2 linked regions of the Macaca mulatta genome follow. The protein of the gene in region 2 interacts with the protein of the main gene of each other region in a pairwise test. Links are inferred from orthologs where the notes say so. Each region holds a gene or a part of one and is shown on either strand. Other genes may lie near its edges. The genes, in order: PRDX1 and GAPDH.

The links.
Region 1: the proteins of GAPDH (region 2) and PRDX1 interact in a two-hybrid assay, tested with the Homo sapiens proteins (2 studies listed by BioGRID and IntAct, with this or other methods). The link is inferred for Macaca mulatta from reciprocal best matches to the Homo sapiens genes GAPDH and PRDX1.

The regions. Positions count from the first base shown.
Region 1 is NC_133406.1:195,098,692-195,102,495, forward strand, and holds part of PRDX1 (peroxiredoxin-1), read left to right. Parts: intron 1-293; coding exon 294-416; intron 417-652; coding exon 653-783; intron 784-1,140; exon of another isoform or gene 1,141-1,867; intron 1,868-1,988; exon of another isoform or gene 1,989-2,174; intron 2,175-3,637; coding exon 3,638-3,723; 3' UTR 3,724-3,804. UniProt on the Homo sapiens protein: Thiol-specific peroxidase that catalyzes the reduction of hydrogen peroxide and organic hydroperoxides to water and alcohols, respectively.
Region 2 is NC_133416.1:7,484,602-7,488,879, reverse strand, and holds the start of GAPDH (glyceraldehyde-3-phosphate dehydrogenase), read right to left. Parts: upstream 3,080-4,278; 5' UTR 3,037-3,079; exon of another isoform or gene 2,945-3,036; intron 2,768-2,944; 5' UTR 2,751-2,767; coding exon 2,722-2,750; intron 1,047-2,721; coding exon 947-1,046; exon of another isoform or gene 924-946; intron 866-923; coding exon 759-865; intron 637-758; coding exon 546-636; intron 456-545; coding exon 340-455; intron 253-339; coding exon 171-252; intron 1-170. UniProt on the Homo sapiens protein: Has both glyceraldehyde-3-phosphate dehydrogenase and nitrosylase activities, thereby playing a role in glycolysis and nuclear functions, respectively.

The sequences.
Region 1 (3,804 bases), on a different chromosome or scaffold from region 2:
AACTGGGAAGCTTTGGCAATAGACTTTCAAGTATTGGCTTCTCATGGAAGAAGTGCAAAGTCTGACTTTCTCTTACTGCTCATGACCTGGCAGCAGAGAAGCAGCAGCTTCAGTTGCAGTTGAGTGTACCCTAGTAACCTACCTTAACTGTTCTCAGCATTCACTTTATTGCTGGAAAAGGAAAAAAACAGTTTTTTTGGAAAGTTAGATTAGGAATATGGGAAAGGGGGAAAGAGGAATAGGTACAGTTAAGTCAAGAGTTTGAATGTAACTGTGTTTGCCTTTTGCCGTAGGATCAACACACCTAAGAAACAAGGAGGACTGGGACCCATGAACATTCCTTTGGTATCAGACCCGAAGCGCACCATTGCTCAGGATTATGGGGTCTTAAAGGCTGATGAAGGCATTTCATTCAGGTATGTCATCAGGACAAGTACCCAGTTGGCTGAAAGCCTTTTATTTGGAGAAATCTAGAGCCCTGATCTGTAGAGACTCCTTCATCATTTCATTCCTTTATGCAGGGGCCTTCTCACTAAGGCCAGGCCAGTATGAATGTGGAGACCAGTTCATTTCCTTAAGACTTCAAGCTTCTGTATTCTAACAAAGCACATCTTTAAACCTGTATTGCTTTTCCTTTCATCTCTTTTCCCAGGGGCCTCTTTATCATTGATGATAAGGGTATTCTTCGGCAGATCACTGTAAATGACCTCCCTGTTGGCCGCTCTGTGGATGAGACTTTGAGACTAGTTCAGGCCTTCCAGTTCACTGACAAACATGGGGAAGGTAAGCCATCTGTCTGATAAAAGGATAACAGAGTGGTGGTAGAATGGGAAAGATAGTAGGAACAGAAGCTACCTAATAAGAAAAGGGGTATTTCTCTTCAAGATATTGAAGCCCCTGGATTACAGTATGTGAGGGTGAGGGTAATGGAAAAGCTTGGGAAGGAGAATATAAAGACTTTTTATTCGAAGTGTACATACTCCTCTCTTCTGCCCTGCTCATTTAGAATCAGTCACTCCTAAAGATCTAACTTAATGTAGGATGATCTCACAGATGTATTAGGGCAAAACAAAATGGTTGGGAATCACATCTAGAGATGAAGCATGCCATTTAAAAAATAACTGTTGAGAGAAGAGGTTAATCCATATAGTTCATATTTGTATTTATTTATTTATTTATTTTTTGCAAGACAGAGTCTTGCTCTGTTGCCCAGGCTAGAGTGCAGTGGCGCAGTCTTGGCTCACTGTGACCTCCACCTCCCATGAGCCATCGCGCCCAGCCCAGACTAGCTTTCTAAGGCCCATTTTAGCTCTGATCTTGTGATTTAAAGAAAATGAAGTTTAGTGACTAGAGTCTGGATTAGTGGTGTATGTTTGGGAAGACCCAAAGGTGCTAGTTTGGCTAGCACCAAATAATCTTTTTACAGGGATTACTTTTTAATCCCTGTAAGAGTCTGATTATATAGGGATCAGTGAGCACTGATAACCAGGAGGTACCCTTTTCAGAAGGATGTGTGGGCAATTAGCCTGGACAGATAACACATGGCTCAGCTGACACCTGCTGAGACTGCCCCCTTGTGGGAGATGAGGTTCAGCATTAAGAAGGAGCCGGCAGTGGCAAAGTAGGCCCTTTAACTGGACTTTCCTGGGAACCTACATATAGGTTAGTCTCCCGAACACAAGCTTTCATGACTCAGAAGCTTGCTTCTTCAGACTCTATTGGTCTCTTCTGCTTCCCATCCCACTGGAACATGTACAGCTTCTTAAATAGGCACCATTCAAGAGCCTATGAATGCCAAACACTATATATATATATATATATATATTTTTTTTTTTTTTTGAGACAGAATCTTGTTTTGTTGCCCAGACTGGAGTGCAGTGGTGTGATCTCGGCTTACTGCAGCCACCACCTCCTGGGTTCAAGCAATTCTCTAGCATCAGCTTCCTGAGTAGCTAGGACTACAGGGGCCCACCACCATGCCCCACTAATTTTTGTATGTTTTGTAGAGATGCGATTTTGCCATGTTGGCCAGGCTGGTCTCAGAACTCCTGAGCTCAAGCTCAAGCAGTCCTCCGCCTTGGCCTCCCAAAGCACTGGGATTATAGGCGTGAACCACTGTGCCCGGCTGCCAAACACTTGTTTTTTTGAGATGGAGTCTCGCACTGTCATCCGGGCTAGAGTGCAGTGGTATGATCTCAGCTCACTGCAACCTCTGCATCAAGCAATTCTCCTGCCTCAGCCTCCCGAGTACCTGGGATTATAGGCGCTCACCACCACGCCCAGCTAATTTTTTATATTTTTAGTAGAGACGGGGTTTCATTATGTTGGCCAGGCTGGTATTTATTTGCTTTTATGCTGTTCTTTCCAACTTGTTTATCTTTAGGACCTGTATTGTAACCCTTTGATATCACTAAAGCCAATAACTAACAATCAGATGGAGATTTTAGGAAAATAATGGCAGCTTGTCCTTCTATTTAGCTCTTGTTCCATCTGTACCTTATGCCTAGAGAGCTGTTTGTAGAGTCTTGATATTTGAGGTTATGATATCCTTGGACCAAAGAGGGGCCTCCCTATGTCTCACTTGAGCAATTGAGACTCTTGCTGCTCCTGCTGGACTTTGATTACATGTCTCGTAGAATATGACAGCACATGGTAGTGGAAAAATCAGGCCAGGTGCGGTGGCTCACGCCTGTAATCCTAGCACTTTGGGAGGCCGAGGCAGGCAGATCACCTGAGGTCAGGAGTTTGAGATCAGCCTGGCCAACATCGTGAAACCCCATCTCTACTAAAAATACAAAAATTAGCCGGGTGCGGTGGCAGGCGCCTGTAATCCCAGCTACTTGGGAGGCTTATGCAGGAGAATTGCTTGAACCTGGGAGACCAAGGTTGCAGAGAGAGGTGGGGATCACGCCACTGCACTCCAGCCTGGGCAACACAGCGAGACTCCATCTCAAAAAAAGAAAAAGAAAAATGAGAGATTAGTCCCCTTGCCTCACTTTCTTCAGGCTAGCCTGAGACACATTCTTAGGCATTGTCAGGAAAAGGTTGAAGGCTGTGCTTTCTGTATACATTCACGAAAAATCTCAAACTTTGCCTTTTGCTTACCGAGGGGTAGATGGCAGTTACTTAATGAAACAAGCAGGGGCTTCTATTAAGTTCTTGATCCTTTATAAGGTTCAGGCTTTCCAGTTTGGTAGCGTTAGAAGAATGCTGAGAAGGCAGACTGAGGTTGCTGCCTTCAGAGTTCTGAAGGGCTGTCAGAGGGAAACAGTTTAGTGTTAAGGGTTTACATAGTTCTATGTGTATCATTTACTTAGCTTTTTTTTTTTCCCTTAAGGACTAGAGAGTGTTGGCAAATCATTTAAACTTGCCTTTTTTGTGGAAAATTTAAATTTTAAGTGCTACATGAATAAATTAGGCATAATAGTATCTTAAGGCTGTGGTGATGATTATATAATGTTTGTAAAATAGTTAGGTTACACTAAAAGGCTGAATGATCTTAGACCGATTGCAGGGGTAGGTTTCCTGGTATCTGAGTGTTCAGGCTCTTTAGGGTGCAGAACTGGTTTTGTCCATAGGAGAATGGTGGTGCATACCATTGAGAAGGTTATTAATTAGTGGTACCTTTCTTTTGCAGTGTGCCCTGCTGGCTGGAAACCTGGCAGTGATACCATCAAGCCTGATGTCCAAAAGAGCAAAGAATATTTCTCCAAGCAGAAGTGAGCGCTGGGCTGTTTTAGTGCCAGGCTGCAGTGGGCAGCCATGAGAACAAAACCTCTTCTGTATTTTTTTTTTTTCCCCATG
Region 2 (4,278 bases):
TCCCCACATCACCACCCCTCTACCTCCCTCCCCACCTTGAAAGGAAATTATGGGAGAGCCAGTCCCCAGAAGGCCCAGCCCCCAGGGTTGCATGCAGGCCTGGCCGGGAGGAGGAGCCAGCCCTGCATGAGAAAGGCAGCAGCCTCAGTCCCATTCCCCAGCTCTCATACCATGAGTCCTTCCACGATACCAAAGTTGTCATGGATGACCTTGGCCAAGGGTGCTAAGCAGTTGGTGGTGCAGGAGGCGTTGCTGCAAACAAAGAGGGGGCGCAAGTCAGGGGAGCGTGTCCACAGGGTGCCAGGCTGGCCGCTTCTCCACTGGCCCTGCCTTCCTCACCTGACGATCTTGAGGCTGTTGTCATACTTCTCATGGTTCACACCCATGACGAACATGGGGGCGTCAGCAGAGGGGGCAGAGATGATGACCCTTTTGGCTCCCCCCTGCAAATGAGCCTACAGCAGAGAAGTAGACAGTTATAAACCCGGGTTCTGCCTCTGCAGGGCTGAGCCAGCTTCCCCTACCGCGGGCCCTCCTGCACTCACCCCAGCCTTCTCCGTGGTGGTGAAGACGCCAGTGGACTCCACGACGTACTCAGCGCCAGCATCGCCCCACTTGATTTTGGAGGGATCTCGCCTATGGGGTGGGGGAGACAGGGATAGGACATATTGAGGGACACGAGGTTACCATGTACCCAAGGGAGCCGCACCACCCTAGCTGCCCCCCACAGCACATTTCTCCCACTGCCTTCCACTCACTCCTGGAAGATGGTGATGGGGCTTCCATTGATGACGAGCTTCCCGTTCTCAGCCTTCACGGTGCCATGGAACTTGCCATGGGTGGAATCATACTGGAACATGTAAACCTGGGGGAATACGCAAGGGTGTGAAGGGGCTGCCTGGCAGCCAGGTGGCTCCTCCCACATCAGCTTTGGGGCAGCACTCACCATGTAGTTGAGGTCAATGAAGGGGTCATTGATGGCAACAATATCCACTTTACCAGAGTTAAAAGCAGCCCTGGTGACCAGGCGCCCAATACGACCAAATCTAAGAGACAAGAGGCAAGAAGGCATGAGGAGGGGAGGCTTCTCCACAGTATGTGAGCTGCCCTAGGACACCTCTCCATTAAGAGGGCGAATGCAGCATCTCCTTACCCCCAACATCTCCTTACCTCCATTAAGAGGTGAATTGTATCTCCCTTGAGCTCCCCTGCCAGGCTGGCCTGGCTTTACGGCATGGCTGCAACTGAAGGCTCCACTGCTGCCTAACACCCCCCGTCATAGGAAGCCCTTCCAGGAGAAGCGGCCATGTGGGGCACTGCCACCCACAGTCTGGGCACAAGCTTTGCACGTGGCATTCAGCACCTCACTATGCCACCCCAGGAATGCTTGCTGCTGCCTAGCTCAGCCTCAAACTGCACCGTTTAAGGAGAAAAGATTTGTACACTCAGCATCACCAAACTCAAAGGGCAGGAATAAAGGTCAGAAATTAATTGGACAGGGCAAGCCCACCCCTTCTCTAAGACCCGCCTACAAAAGGGACAGAGATTGGGCCGGGGGAAGAGGGGAAGTTGTTTTTTAACCCCCTAGTCCCAGGGCTTTAATTTGCAAGCTTCTAGTCCTTTCCTAGCTCTTTTCCAGAATTCAGGAGTGGGAGCACAGGTGTGTGCATGTGTGTGGGAGAAGGGATGGGAGACGGCCCAAGCCCAGGCCCCCAGTTACAGAAAGGTCAGCAGCTATATTTATCCTCAGACCAGGGTGCGGTGGGAGATCTGGTTTCTGGAAGACGGAATGGGGAGAAGGGCAGGTTTCCCGAGGCTCCCAGACACCCAATCCTCCGGGTGACATTTACAGCCTGGCCTTTGGGGTGGGGTCAACGCTAGGCTGGCAGGGGAAGAGGGGGGCCATAAGGTGAGCCGCCGCTGCAGAAAGGGGCCACCGCCAGAGGGGCCATTTTGCGGTGGAAATGTCCTTTTCCAACTACCGATGACTCAGCTCCCCCCGGCTTGGCACCAAGCCACAGCCACCACACCTCTGGAGGGAGGGGACACAGGAGGACCTCCATAAACCCACTTCTTTGATTTACCAGAGAATTATCTAGAAAAAGCATCACCCGGAGGGGAAATAGGGCTTGCAGCTCAGGGGCCGACTTGAGAGCAGGGGCCGGGAAGCCTCGCTCCACCTGACTTCCCCGCCACACGCGACTCCACCCACCGAGGCAGGAGCGCAGGGTTAGTCACCGGCAGGGTTTCCTAACGGCGGCCCATTCATTTCCTTCCCGGTTGCAACATGGCGGCCGCTCTACCGCAGGCGCAGCCTCCGGACTGGGATGCACCCGCTGCGCACTAGCATCCCGGGGCCTGCGGTGCCGGAGGCCATGGGGGAGGGGCTCCTCTGCGACACGTGACCTCGCAGAGCGCGAAAGGAAAGAAAGCGTCCCCAGCTAGGGGTCCGGGTCGGATGGAATCTCGGGCGGGAGTAGGGACCTCCTGTTCCTGGGGACTAGGGAAGGCAGGCCCCGGGCAGATGGCGCCGCAAGGGCGGAGCTGCACAGGGCGCCACAGCCTGGGTGCGGGGCTCCGCCAGGTCCGAGCGCTGACCTTGAGCTCTCCTTGCCGGACGCAGCTACCCTACCCCATACGACAGCAAAGACCCGGAGCCCGCAAGGCTCGTAGACGCAGTTTGCGGGCGGCCCAGGGCCCCCCAGCCACCCACGAACTCACCCGTTGACTCCGACCTTCACCTTCCCCATGGTGTCTCAGGGATGCGCTGCGCGGAGAGAGAGAACAGTGAGCGCCTAGTGGTCCCGGTCGACACCCACGCCTCCCCTCCCCTCCCCTCCCCCCACCAGCCTCCATGCCCAGCCCGCGCCGCATCACGTCCTCCGCCCGCCCCTGCAATGCGGAGGCAGCCCGGGCCCGGACCCGGACCCTGGCCCGCGCCCACCCCGCAGCGGCGCGAACACGTCCGGCCCACGCCCGCTCCTGCCGCCTTCAGGCCCGTCCCTAGCCTCCGGGCTCCTCTCCGCCCGTCTTCACCTGGCGATGCAAGAGAAAATGCGGCTGACTCTCGAACAGGAGGAGCAGAGAGCGCAGGGGGAGGCTGCGGGCTCAATTTATAGAAACCCGGGGGCGCGGCGGCAGGCGGTGACTCTGACCCCGCCTCCCGCCGGGCTCAGCCAGTCCCAGTCCAAGGACTTGAGGCCTGAGCTACGTGCGCCCGTAAAACCGCGAGTAGCGGGGCCCTGCTTTCTCCCTGCTCTTTTTTTTTTTCCGCAGCCGCCTAGTTCAACTGGGCACGCATCAAGCGTGTGGGCCCCGACGGAGGGGGGAAGGGACTGAGACTGGCCCGATGGGAGGTGATCGGTGCTGCTTCCCAGGACTGGAGTGTGGGCAGCAGGAGACTAGGGAGTCAAGGACGGGGGCCCTTACACGCACGGATGAAACAGGACTTTGGGAGCGACTGAGATGGGGAATTGGAGCCCGAGCCCTGCACGGCTCGCGGCTGCACGCGGCCTGCCCCCTCCCCTTTCTTTCAAAGGCTGAGAGGCGGGAAAGTTGGGGAACTTCTCCTCGAGGCTCTGCGGTAGTGACACCGGAATAGCTGAAGCAAAGGGCTAGGAGGGGCCCGTGGGCCCTTCCCAGCCCCCACTTCCCCCTCCCCATCTCCTGGCTCCTGGCCTCTCTGGGACCGAGGCCTGGCCTGGGCACTGGGCAGTGGGGGCCTGGAGAGGAAGGAGGCTCGGGAGGCGGCTTGAGGGGGAGGTTTCTACACGGAAGGTCACGATGTCCTGCAGCCCTGTAGCTTGGACCTGATGATTAGGGCAGACAATCCAGGCCCTGTGTGCACCAGCGGCTCTCCCCGGGCTGGGGCCCCAGGCGGAGGACAGGATGGCTGGTGGGGGCCCAGAGGCCTCCCACAAAGTCACTCCTGGAGCCCCGTGGGCTGTGCTGCCTAGGGTGAGAGACAGTGTGCTTTTCACTCCATCCAGCCCGGGGCGAAGAGCGGGACGTGAGGGCGGAAGTGCCTCCCCGCCCTGGGACGTGCAGGCGAGCCAGGAGCCAGGGACTCCCCTTCACTGGCTTCGCTGGGGGATATTGAGGGCAGGGTGAGTCAAGAAGAGGGAAAAAGTGGGAAAAGAGGTCTTGGGCACATGGTGGGAACAGGCCCCCTGCCCCTTCCCACAGGGTATCCATTTCTCTGGTAGGAGGGCAGAGGGCCAGGTTTGTGAGTGTGGGATGGGAGCGTGCTGAACACTTGTAAGGAAGGGGGTGGGGTGG